Bombyx mori: one gene and its partners. The protein of the gene in region 2 interacts with the protein of the main gene of each other region in a pairwise test. Links are inferred from orthologs where the notes say so. Each region holds a gene or a part of one and is shown on either strand. Other genes may lie near its edges.

Region 1 (3,673 bases), on a different chromosome or scaffold from region 2:
AGGATTAGTACCCATCGTTTGACACCAGCAGGTACGTTATCTACTGCTACTAGTCGAAGTTAGATCTCGATTAATTAAATAAATAATACATTTAACATAAGCTCTGTTAAAAATTTATATCCTACAGGGTTCCAAAAATATGCCCTAACACAAGTAAATGCCGTTTAGCAATTGCATCAAATAATTCTACTGCTCATTTTCGGGTGAATTAATAGCCTGTTACAACACTTATGGAAAGAGGGTATTATGCTATTCTAGGTAAGCACCGTGCAGACATAAATATATGACAGTATATCTTTCTATTACTTATGAGAAGTTGGCAGTAATAAAGAATTTTATGTTTAGCGTATAAATGCTCAAATATTAAGTATATAATCTATGTAAAATGTGCTATTTGCTAACAGCAGACTTTTTGGCGGGAACGCGAGAAGTGAAGTTGTGTGATTTGTTCTATTTTGTCTATTTAGTGTTTCTTCGGGTTTAAATGTGTAATAATGGTGGTTTATTAATTGTTTAATATCTGTGAAAGTGCACAAATGTGGGAAAATGTAACAAAGCCGCTGGACGTAACTTCTCGGGATCCTCCAAAAAGTCCACTGAAAAGATCTTAGTAAATGACCACCATTTTACTAAGATTATATTTCATCCCATATCATCTCATTTCATTTAATTTCATCCCAGTTGATTAATCAATGTTCAATCAATGACATTAATGTCTCAAATTAATCATTTTCATTTCATTTCACTCCCTATTAGCATTTTTCATAAAAATAAGAATATAAATTAAAATAAGACATGACTTAAGGTCTTAGTTACCAGGTCGTAAATCACTTAAAAAAAACTCAGTCAACTGCCAATTGTCAACAAATGTCAATTTCATTGCAATGTTTTGTGAAAAAGCTACCTGGCTAACAAAAAATTTCATGAAAATTAGAATATAAATTTTATCTTATTCACAATTCGTTCTGAAGCTTAATATGTACCACGCTTCGAGATCGGACGTTAGCCAGATTGACGTGTCGTAATTTTATCAGTTAGGTAGTCAAAAATATAGTACTTGGTAAGTTATCGAACTTAACTACAGAAATTACCATTTTACCAGTAAGTTATTATCTTTTTGTTCGTTTACAGTTAGACATTTCGCAAGTTATAATGTTTGCGAGTTTAAAAAGTAAAATAAAAGAGGAAACAGGAAGTGACATCAGTAAATTGACCAGTAGTTGGAGAAGTGGTGGCTTTTTAGGAAGAATATCACTCAGAGATGATTCGGTAAGATGTAAAATGCACTATTGCTTAAAATGCATTAAGTTTTATATAATAATAATAAATAAAACGAAATGTGTGCCTGACATTTAATTAAGACATTTAAGTTTTATAGATTTTCATCTGCAGACCTGTTTCCCATACTCGAAGGTCGCTTTCACCTCTTCATTCAGGCATTACAAGCTAGTTGTAGTACAATATTTAAGTCACCTCACTGAGCTGAGTGAGCTCATCCTACTCAAATCTTAGCTGAGAATTAACTTAACACATATCTGAACTGTTGGTGATCACATTTGAGTAGCTGGTTTTCATACATTGCATTAGTATTTTTTAAATTTTAATGACACTAGTATAAGTGTATAATTAGTTTTATCAGATGATGGAGATCCATCATCAGCTGCCTCATTGATTGATGAAGGTGATTAGTGGGACTAAGTTCAACTCTAGTCTTTAAAATTGCATATTTTGTAGCCTTTTACAAAAAAGTCATCCTTGTGATGATGACAAAAATAAAACTAAATTTTTAAACATGTGTCTTGAATACACCGAAACTTAAACTCGTGTATTTAAATCATAATTTCTCATTTTTGACATAAAATCCCACTATTAACAACTTGTTTAATTTTTAGTCAGCAACCAGCCCCTCGAGCTCTGGTGGTCTTGGAGACTCACCGGCTGATGTAAGTTTAAAGTTTTAGTGTCTATAGTTACAATATATAAATAATAGAAAACATGTTTCAGGGCTCTATAAATATAAATCAGACATTTAAGACTATCATAAATTTAAAAAAAATCATGAATTACTTCTACAGCTGTATGCTACAACCATTTTCGATTAGGAAATGTTTCCCAAAAACCATACATCCTGAAAATATTTTTATTTTTTTCCAATCTTGCTACAATTTTTCATATTAAATGAAGTAAAAAAATTAAATTAAGTAAGTAGAAAATTTTTATTAAGTTAAATTTTATTTAAAAGCTATGTAGATGTTGACCACCTTAAAATATATATTGAATTCTCTGACAGTGTAAAAATAATATTGTTTAAATTATTAATTTTATGTATTCAGTCCATCTCTCCGCAAATGGAAACATACTTGTCGGAACGTACTGGGGGCCAGATAGACCAAGCAGCATTACAGCAACAGTATTCTGTACAGCTAGAAAATAAATTAAGAGAAAGGGATACTTATTGGGAACAAAAAATTGAAGAATTGAAGTTGTCTCTAGCAACAGTTCAAGGTAAGTAACCTTGTAATAAGCATTGTGTTATGATAAATTCTATTTTTTGTAGAGCAAGTTGTAGTTAGGAGATTATAAAAAAAAAACATTTATGGTGTATTGTTTTACAGCAATAGTTTCAAGCAAGTAATCATGAAAACAAAGTTTTTCGATTCATCATAATAGTTGCCAACTAAACATGTATTCCAATAGGTGAAGAAGCAGCAGCAGCTCAAGCTGTAGCTCGTGCGGCCCAAGCCGAGGCTGTAAGGGCTGCAAACGAACGCGACTTAGCTGAAAAACATGTGAGCGAACTGCGGACACAACTAGCAGCTGCTGAAAGAGCCCAAGACAGGCTCGATGAGCTGATGGTAAGTATTATTATCAGTATATTTTAGTAATAATATTGTTTACAGCTATAGGTTATTAAAAATTTTTATTATTACTTAATGTCACTACACCATATAAATCTGAATGTACAATATAACATTTAGATAAGGCAAGGGGGAGCTATCGGCCACCCATGCGGTTACAACATTATCCTTGCCATCATCAATTTGCGCGTTAGCTGTTTAATTTCTTTTGCTTGATAAAGAGACTTTAGAACGGCAGCTGATCAACTAAACTGAAATCCGTGCAGTAGCCTTTTTAATTGGTTAAATAATAATAGAACATTGAATAATGACGTCATTATTCACGAAATCTTCAAAATACACGATGGTAATTTAAATCTATTTATCTGCTTAAATTATAATAAGGGCATTGTTCATTATGAGGTGTTACCACCAGGCAGGTCCATCGATTCTGAACTCTACTGTGAACAACTGATGAGATTAAAGCAAGAAGTTGAGAGAAAGCGGCCGGAATTAATCAACAGAAGGGGTGTGGTTTTTCATGATGATAAGACTCCAGACTCTCGACCTCACACATTGTTAGCCACTCAGCAAAAATTAAAAGAGCTTGGCTGGGAGGTGTTAATGTATCCGCCGTATAGTCTTGACCTTGCACCTTCAGATTTCCACCATAATTAAATAAACTATATTAAAAAATGTTGTAAATTTTCTTAAAAAATGCGTTGAAACTTTTTCTTCAATCTTATATACGAATATCGGTATAGGAAGAGTTGGAGCAGTCCCGTCGCGAGTGGGCCCGCGAACGAGCGGACCTACTCGCAGTGCGGGGCGAGAGC
Region 2 (2,875 bases):
AAAAGTTATTGTATAGAAAAATTGAATTCATGTTTATATCACATACAGCCTTGCGATTCTCGTATCTCGTATTTAGGGTTGTATTTTAAATGTTTATTTTATATGGAGCGTGATTTTATTACTTGTTATGTGTGTATGATATTTTAGCATGCGATGTGTGCAACAGCAAATGTATAACAAAACATTGAAATGTTGGGGTATTTGTTTTTTTTTCGTTTGGGGAAAACCGATGTTCTTATGTTGTCAACATTAATTTTGTTGATGAGTACAGAAAGTAATTGTAACCCTGTTGTTAATTCTGAATTCTTGTAAATGTTATATTTAAAAAGGATACTGTCTTCGGGAGGTTTGTTTTCGGCAGAGTCCATGCCAGGCAGGGCAGCAGCTACTCTTCGGAATAACTGAAAAAGTTAAAAAAGTTTTAAAATTAACCATACTCTTTTTGAGGGTATTGAAGCGGGACGTGCGAGAGAGACGGCGAGATGTTTTTTTTTTTTTCTCCTACCTATGCTGATAGCCATGAGAGGCTATTTTAGCTTCACCCTATAAGTGAGCTCACCGGGCTCAAGCCTAGCAAGAGCCGTGCTTCGCAGAATCTACTACCGGATCGGAAACGCGACCCACTCAGAAGTTCCGGCGGAAACTCAGTGGGCTGTGTCTGTGGGTTAATTTACTCGTCGAGCCCTTTGTCGCAAGCGACGGGTTCGACGAGAGCGATGACCGGTGCTTGAGATACTTAAAAGGACCGTTAGTGGATCGGGAAATGCGCACGTACTATTCCTTATATACATAAACTAGTTTTTGCCCGCGACTCCGTCCGCGTGGAATAGTTATTTTGGCATAACGCTAAATTTTACTCCCACTTCCTTTACGTAGAAAGTGAAAATATTTTTGAATTATAGAATGTTATGGAGCTATTTAAGCCCCTATTTTGAAACATTCTTTATTGGTGCTCCACTTGTATTGGTCTTACCGTGATTTTATATAGCCTATAGCCTTCCTCAATAAATAGGTTATCTAACACTGAAAGAATTTTTAATATCGGACCAGTAGTTCCTAAGATTAGCGCGTTGAAACAAACAAACTCTTCAGCTTTATAATATTAGTATAGATTATAATTTCTAATTGATTCTACAACTGATATATAAGTCGATTTTAATTTTTTTTTTAATTTGCTTTAAGTTTTTATTTAGACCGGATCACGCAAGCCTTGTTGATTACATAGAACGGTGCTCCAAATCAAACAAAGCTACAGTATTTCGTTATAGTTGCCCAGCTCGGACCTTTATCTCTGGCATATTTGAGTCTCATATAGTAAACTTTTTGTAGCAAGTTGTGATCCGGTGATTCAAAAATCTAAGAACCAATCCGTCGACATATTACCTTACTGAACTTTTTTTTATGATTAAAAGATGAATACTGGCCCGGAGGCCTTTATAGTTTCACCAGGACAGATGGGCGAGCAAGGGCTCAGCCAGGAGGGGTGAAATTTGCTAACCAATTTGAGTTGAAAATTGCTACCCAGGCTGATTTTCAGGTTAGGTTGCACGTCGTACTCTTTGCCGAGTACGGTTATCGGAGTTCCTGCTCCTAATGCTAAAGCTACAGGCGTCCAATGCAACGGTTATTGGATCTGATGGATCCGTAAGGACATGCGCCTTACTGCACGCAATGTTACCAGAGATATTGCCAGTTTCACGCAACTATTGTACCCTAATGTAAAAGCGTTAATATAATACCTGTTTAACATTGTAACCAGCTTTGGCGCTTGTCTCTATGAACATCACGTTCAGTTCCTTGGCCTTCTTGTCGCCTTCCTCGGTCGAGACCTGCCTCTTGTCCGAGAGATCGGTCTTGTTGCCGACCAACATGATGATGACGTCAGAACCACGCTCCGTGCGAACGTCGTCGATCCATTTCGAAGTCTGGTGGAATGAGTTCGCGTCTGAAAATTGATAACCAATATTATAGCTTAGTCAGTGATACGTCTGTGGATAATGGAGCTCTTGGGTTTTCGGTAATGCACAATCTTCTTTCACTATTTGAGCTCACTCTCTTAATTTCGGAGGTCGGTAAGTTTTTAAGGTCACGGACTACTTAAACGATAAATTGTAAAATGAATTATTGAAATAAAATATTTTTTCTTCCTTCTTCTTCTTTATATTTTCATTTATTATTTCTGTTTCTTTATCTTATACCTTTAAACGAGCAATTCTTGTATATTAATATACTAGATGATGACCGAGCTTTGTTCGGTTTTTTTTTTGATAACGCCATCTTGTTGTCTTTAAAGCGGTTAGTATAGTATTATTATTCGCCAATAGATGTCGGGAATAGTTGATTATTAAAAAAACGAATAAAACAACATTTTCTGAAAATAAATCGTAGCTAGATCGATTTATCGCCCCCGAAATCCCCTGTATACTAAATTTTATGAAAATCGTTGGAGCCGTTTCCGAGATTCAGATTATATATATTAATATACAAGAATTGCTCGTTTAAAGGTATAAGAAAGAAAATGTTGTTTTATTCGTGTTTTCAATAATCAACTCTTCCCGACATCTATTGGCACATAATAATACTATTTTTTCTTAATTAAGGGCAACTAGCCGCTTCAAAGACACAACAAGATGGCGTTATCAAAAAAAACCGAGCAAAGCTCGGTCATCATCTAGTGTACATAATATGATCATACAGCTATAATAATAATACGTACATTGGTAATAGGTTTTTGTAAGCTTTCCCCTTCTATGACTCTGTAGCTTTCTACATATTTGGCTGAACGAAAGCTACTCAATAAGTTAATGTCGACTTTGTCAAGTAATATTTATATCACTTTAATAAGAAGACTGTGCGCAATAAAGAATAATAAATT
Region 3 (3,281 bases), on a different chromosome or scaffold from region 2:
ACAGTCGACGTCGCCCAAAGCACGTCATTACGGATTCTCCCGATCCATTAACGGTGCTTTTAGGCACCACAAGCACCGGTCACCGTCCTCGTCGAACCCGTCACTTGCGGCGAAGGGCTCGACGAGCGAACTAACCCATAGACACAGCCCACTGAATTTCTCGCCGGATTTTCTCAGTGGGTCGCGTTTCCGATCCGGTGGTAGATTCTGCGAAGCATGGCTCTTGCTAGAGTCAGTGTTAGCAACACTCCGGTTTGAGCCCCGTGAGCCCACCTACACACGTTAGGGCGAAGCTGAAATAGCATCCCAAGCTTATCAGCATAGGTAGGAAAAAAAAAAACAGTTTTCGGTACTTGATGGCAGATGGCGTTACTCGTGCCGCCATAACAATAATAATATGCAGGTCAGGTGACAGGAACACCGATGCCAGAATAGGAAGGACGTGGTACATGAGGTCGATGTCTCAAGTTGCTTAGTGAATTAGCTTACATGTTAGACCTTGAAAGGGCACGTAATTCAGACGTAGGCATAATATTATAGTGCCATCGAGCTGGTGAGCAAAATAAAATAAAATAAATCTACTTTTCAGAGACTGCCAACGAGACGCGACCATAGAGAAAGAGCGCTTCAAAGAAGTCGTCAGAGCGCTGAAAGAGGAGATTGACAGGTAATATCAGATATTCTCCCTCGCATCAGCTCTGACACGTTTTTTTTTATTGCTTAGATGGGTGGACGAGCTCACAGCCCACCTGGTGTTAAATTGTTACCGGGGCCTGTAGAAATCTACATCGTAAATGGCGCTACCCACTTTGAGACATGAGTTCTAAGATCTCAGTTTTAACAGTACAACGGCTGCCCCACCCTTCAAATCGAAATGCATTACTGCTTCACGGCAGAAATAGACAGGCAACCTACCCGTGCAGACTCATAAGAGATCTTACCACCAGTAATTTCGCAACTTATAATTTTACAGGTTTCATTTTTATTACACGATGTTATTCCTTCACCATGGAAGTCAATTGTGAACATTTGTTAAGTACGCATTTCATAAGAAAAATTGGTACCCGCGTGAGATTCGAACACCGGTGCATCGTTACACACGAATGCACCGGACGTCTTATCCGTTAGGCCACGACGACGACTCTCGATTCGACTCTAGCTCTCGGAGTAATGGGCAGCAATGTACTGCGACATTATCAACGCTAACCGCAAATTGCATTACTGATTCAATGCTGTATCATACGAATAAAGCCGAATCTACACTAAGCGTCACTAAAGAAGAAATAAACATGAGTTCTTGTCGGCAAACGAGGTGGTTCCTCTGATGTTAAGCGTTTACCGAACCGCACGTGCTTGTGATGTGCTTGAGACGTGAGGTCGCCAGTAACACAAGGCATGTAACGATTTCGCTAACTGTTAAAATTAATTTTCAGATTAAGAAGAACGCAATCCCGTGAAGGTGCAAATTTAGAGTATTTGAAGAACGTTGTGCTCGCTTACTTGATGTCCACGGACTACGCCGGCAAGAGGCACATGCTAAACGCTATAGCCGCCGTGTTGCATTTCACTAACGCCGAACGTCACTCCGTGCTGTCTACTTTGTAAATTTGAGTGACCACTTAGGATCGGACGGGCCGTCACACTGAATACTTTAGAAGCGTCACTGTCGGTATTCGTTTTATCTTATTTTTTAAATCAACTTCGAGAAACTTCGACAAATTGTAATAGTCCTTTGGGAATAGCCACCGGCTTCGCGCGACCCACTACGTGAGCCATGTCGACGTCCTAGTCGTGTATAAGAGAGAGTCCACAATAATTCAAATTAGAATCATCATCAGACAGCACCTATATCTGCCGCGAAGCAGTAATGCGTATAGGTTTTATGGGTTTAATATATCACTGATCAATTAGAGTCTCAGACCTCATATCTTGATAGGGGGGCGGGCGGGCTTTCACTAAACACCTCATTAACCATGAGCTACCTTCGTTAAGCGTTCTGTAGAATCTAATAAATAATACAAACCCTAAAAAGTATTATATATCAGGTAAATACATTTTAATTAAACAACACTAATGCTATGTAATTTATATGTATATGTGTGTATACAAGAAACAACTAGAATTATGATACAAGTATAATTTAAGAGGATAACAAGTGATTCATAATTGGGTGGTGTGGTGTGCTACCGCAGCCCCACTCCGCCCCTGGGTGTCGCGAAGGGTCGCAGATTTCGCTTCCTATATACCAGGGTACTACGATCCCTATCCGCGTAATGCGACCCCCATCCGGGTAATGCGATCCCCAGCCGGGTAATGCGATCCCCAGCCGGGTAATGCGATCCCCAGCCGGGTAATGCGATCCCCAGCCGGGTAATGCGATCCCCAGCCGGGTAATGCGATCCCCACCCGGTAGTCTAGACTACACTATTGCCTTTATTTTAATTGAAAATAATTAGCAAGTAGTATTCATGGAAGATGCACACCGCGGGAGCGATCACCTTGTAGAATTGAGTGAGATTAATAAGTATTTCATATATCTTAAACATTATTTGATTAAAACATATAGTAGTGGATAGTGTTGGGGTTGAACTTGAGTACCGTATTCATAGTTAACATTCCATTAAAACGGCTGTATAATATAAATTAAAAATAAATAAAATATTTTTCATTACTGTGTTGTGTTTTATTGTTTTAATTTAAGAATAAAAGTCGGTTTTTGTTTGAGACTGAGTATCACTGACGCGTTGCCTCCCATTTCGTAATATGAACTTGCATAATTAATTAATACTAGTGATCGCCCGGCACTCGAAATTCTACCATAACTATTAATCTCTATATATATAAAAATGAATTGCTGTTCGTTAGTCTCGCTAAAACTCGAGAACGGCTGGATCGATTTGGCTAATTTTGGTCTTGAATTATTTGTGGAAGTCCAGAGAAGGTTTAAAAGGTAGATAAATATGAAAATACTCGGAATTAAATGAAAATAACAATTTTGTTTTTCCTTTGATGTGTCCCCCGTCGGACGGATTCCTTTTGTTTGTTTTAAGTTTATTTTATACAAAAGTTTAGGTCTTTTATTTATATATTAAGGCACTACGAAGTCTGCCGGGTCAGCTAATAGTTTAAAATATACGTTTGAAAATGATTTTGGTTCTATCTTCAAAGACTTTATTATTTCTATAATCACAAATTTTGCCAACGCTACACTATAGACAAATGGTATTAAAGACAAACAAATCGACTCATTCATTAAAAACAAGTTCTTATTTGGAATTTTC

Evidence for each region.
Region 1: the proteins of ras small monomeric GTPase Rab6 (region 2) and golgin subfamily A member 1 interact in a two-hybrid assay, tested with the Drosophila melanogaster proteins (2 studies listed by BioGRID). The link is inferred for Bombyx mori from reciprocal best matches to the Drosophila melanogaster genes Rab6 and Golgin97.
Region 3: the proteins of ras small monomeric GTPase Rab6 (region 2) and GRIP and coiled-coil domain-containing protein 1 interact in a two-hybrid assay, tested with the Drosophila melanogaster proteins (2 studies listed by BioGRID). The link is inferred for Bombyx mori from reciprocal best matches to the Drosophila melanogaster genes Rab6 and GCC88.

What each region holds. Positions count from the first base shown.
Region 1 is NC_085110.1:6,838,316-6,841,988, reverse strand, and holds the start of golgin subfamily A member 1, read left to right. Parts: upstream 1-824; 5' UTR 825-1,060; intron 1,061-1,131; 5' UTR 1,132-1,152; coding exon 1,153-1,269; intron 1,270-1,892; coding exon 1,893-1,943; intron 1,944-2,333; coding exon 2,334-2,505; intron 2,506-2,697; coding exon 2,698-2,855; intron 2,856-3,601; coding exon 3,602-3,673.
Region 2 is NC_085111.1:16,071,099-16,073,973, reverse strand, and holds part of ras small monomeric GTPase Rab6, read right to left. Parts: intron 1,946-2,875; coding exon 1,740-1,945; intron 402-1,739; coding exon 335-401; intron 1-334. UniProt on the Drosophila melanogaster protein: Protein transport. Regulator of membrane traffic from the Golgi apparatus towards the endoplasmic reticulum (ER). Mediates membrane trafficking during egg chamber growth and organization, possibly upstream of exocyst component Sec5.
Region 3 is NC_085118.1:16,474,683-16,477,963, reverse strand, and holds the end of GRIP and coiled-coil domain-containing protein 1, read left to right. Parts: intron 1-589; coding exon 590-667; intron 668-1,433; coding exon 1,434-1,605; 3' UTR 1,606-2,672; downstream 2,673-3,281.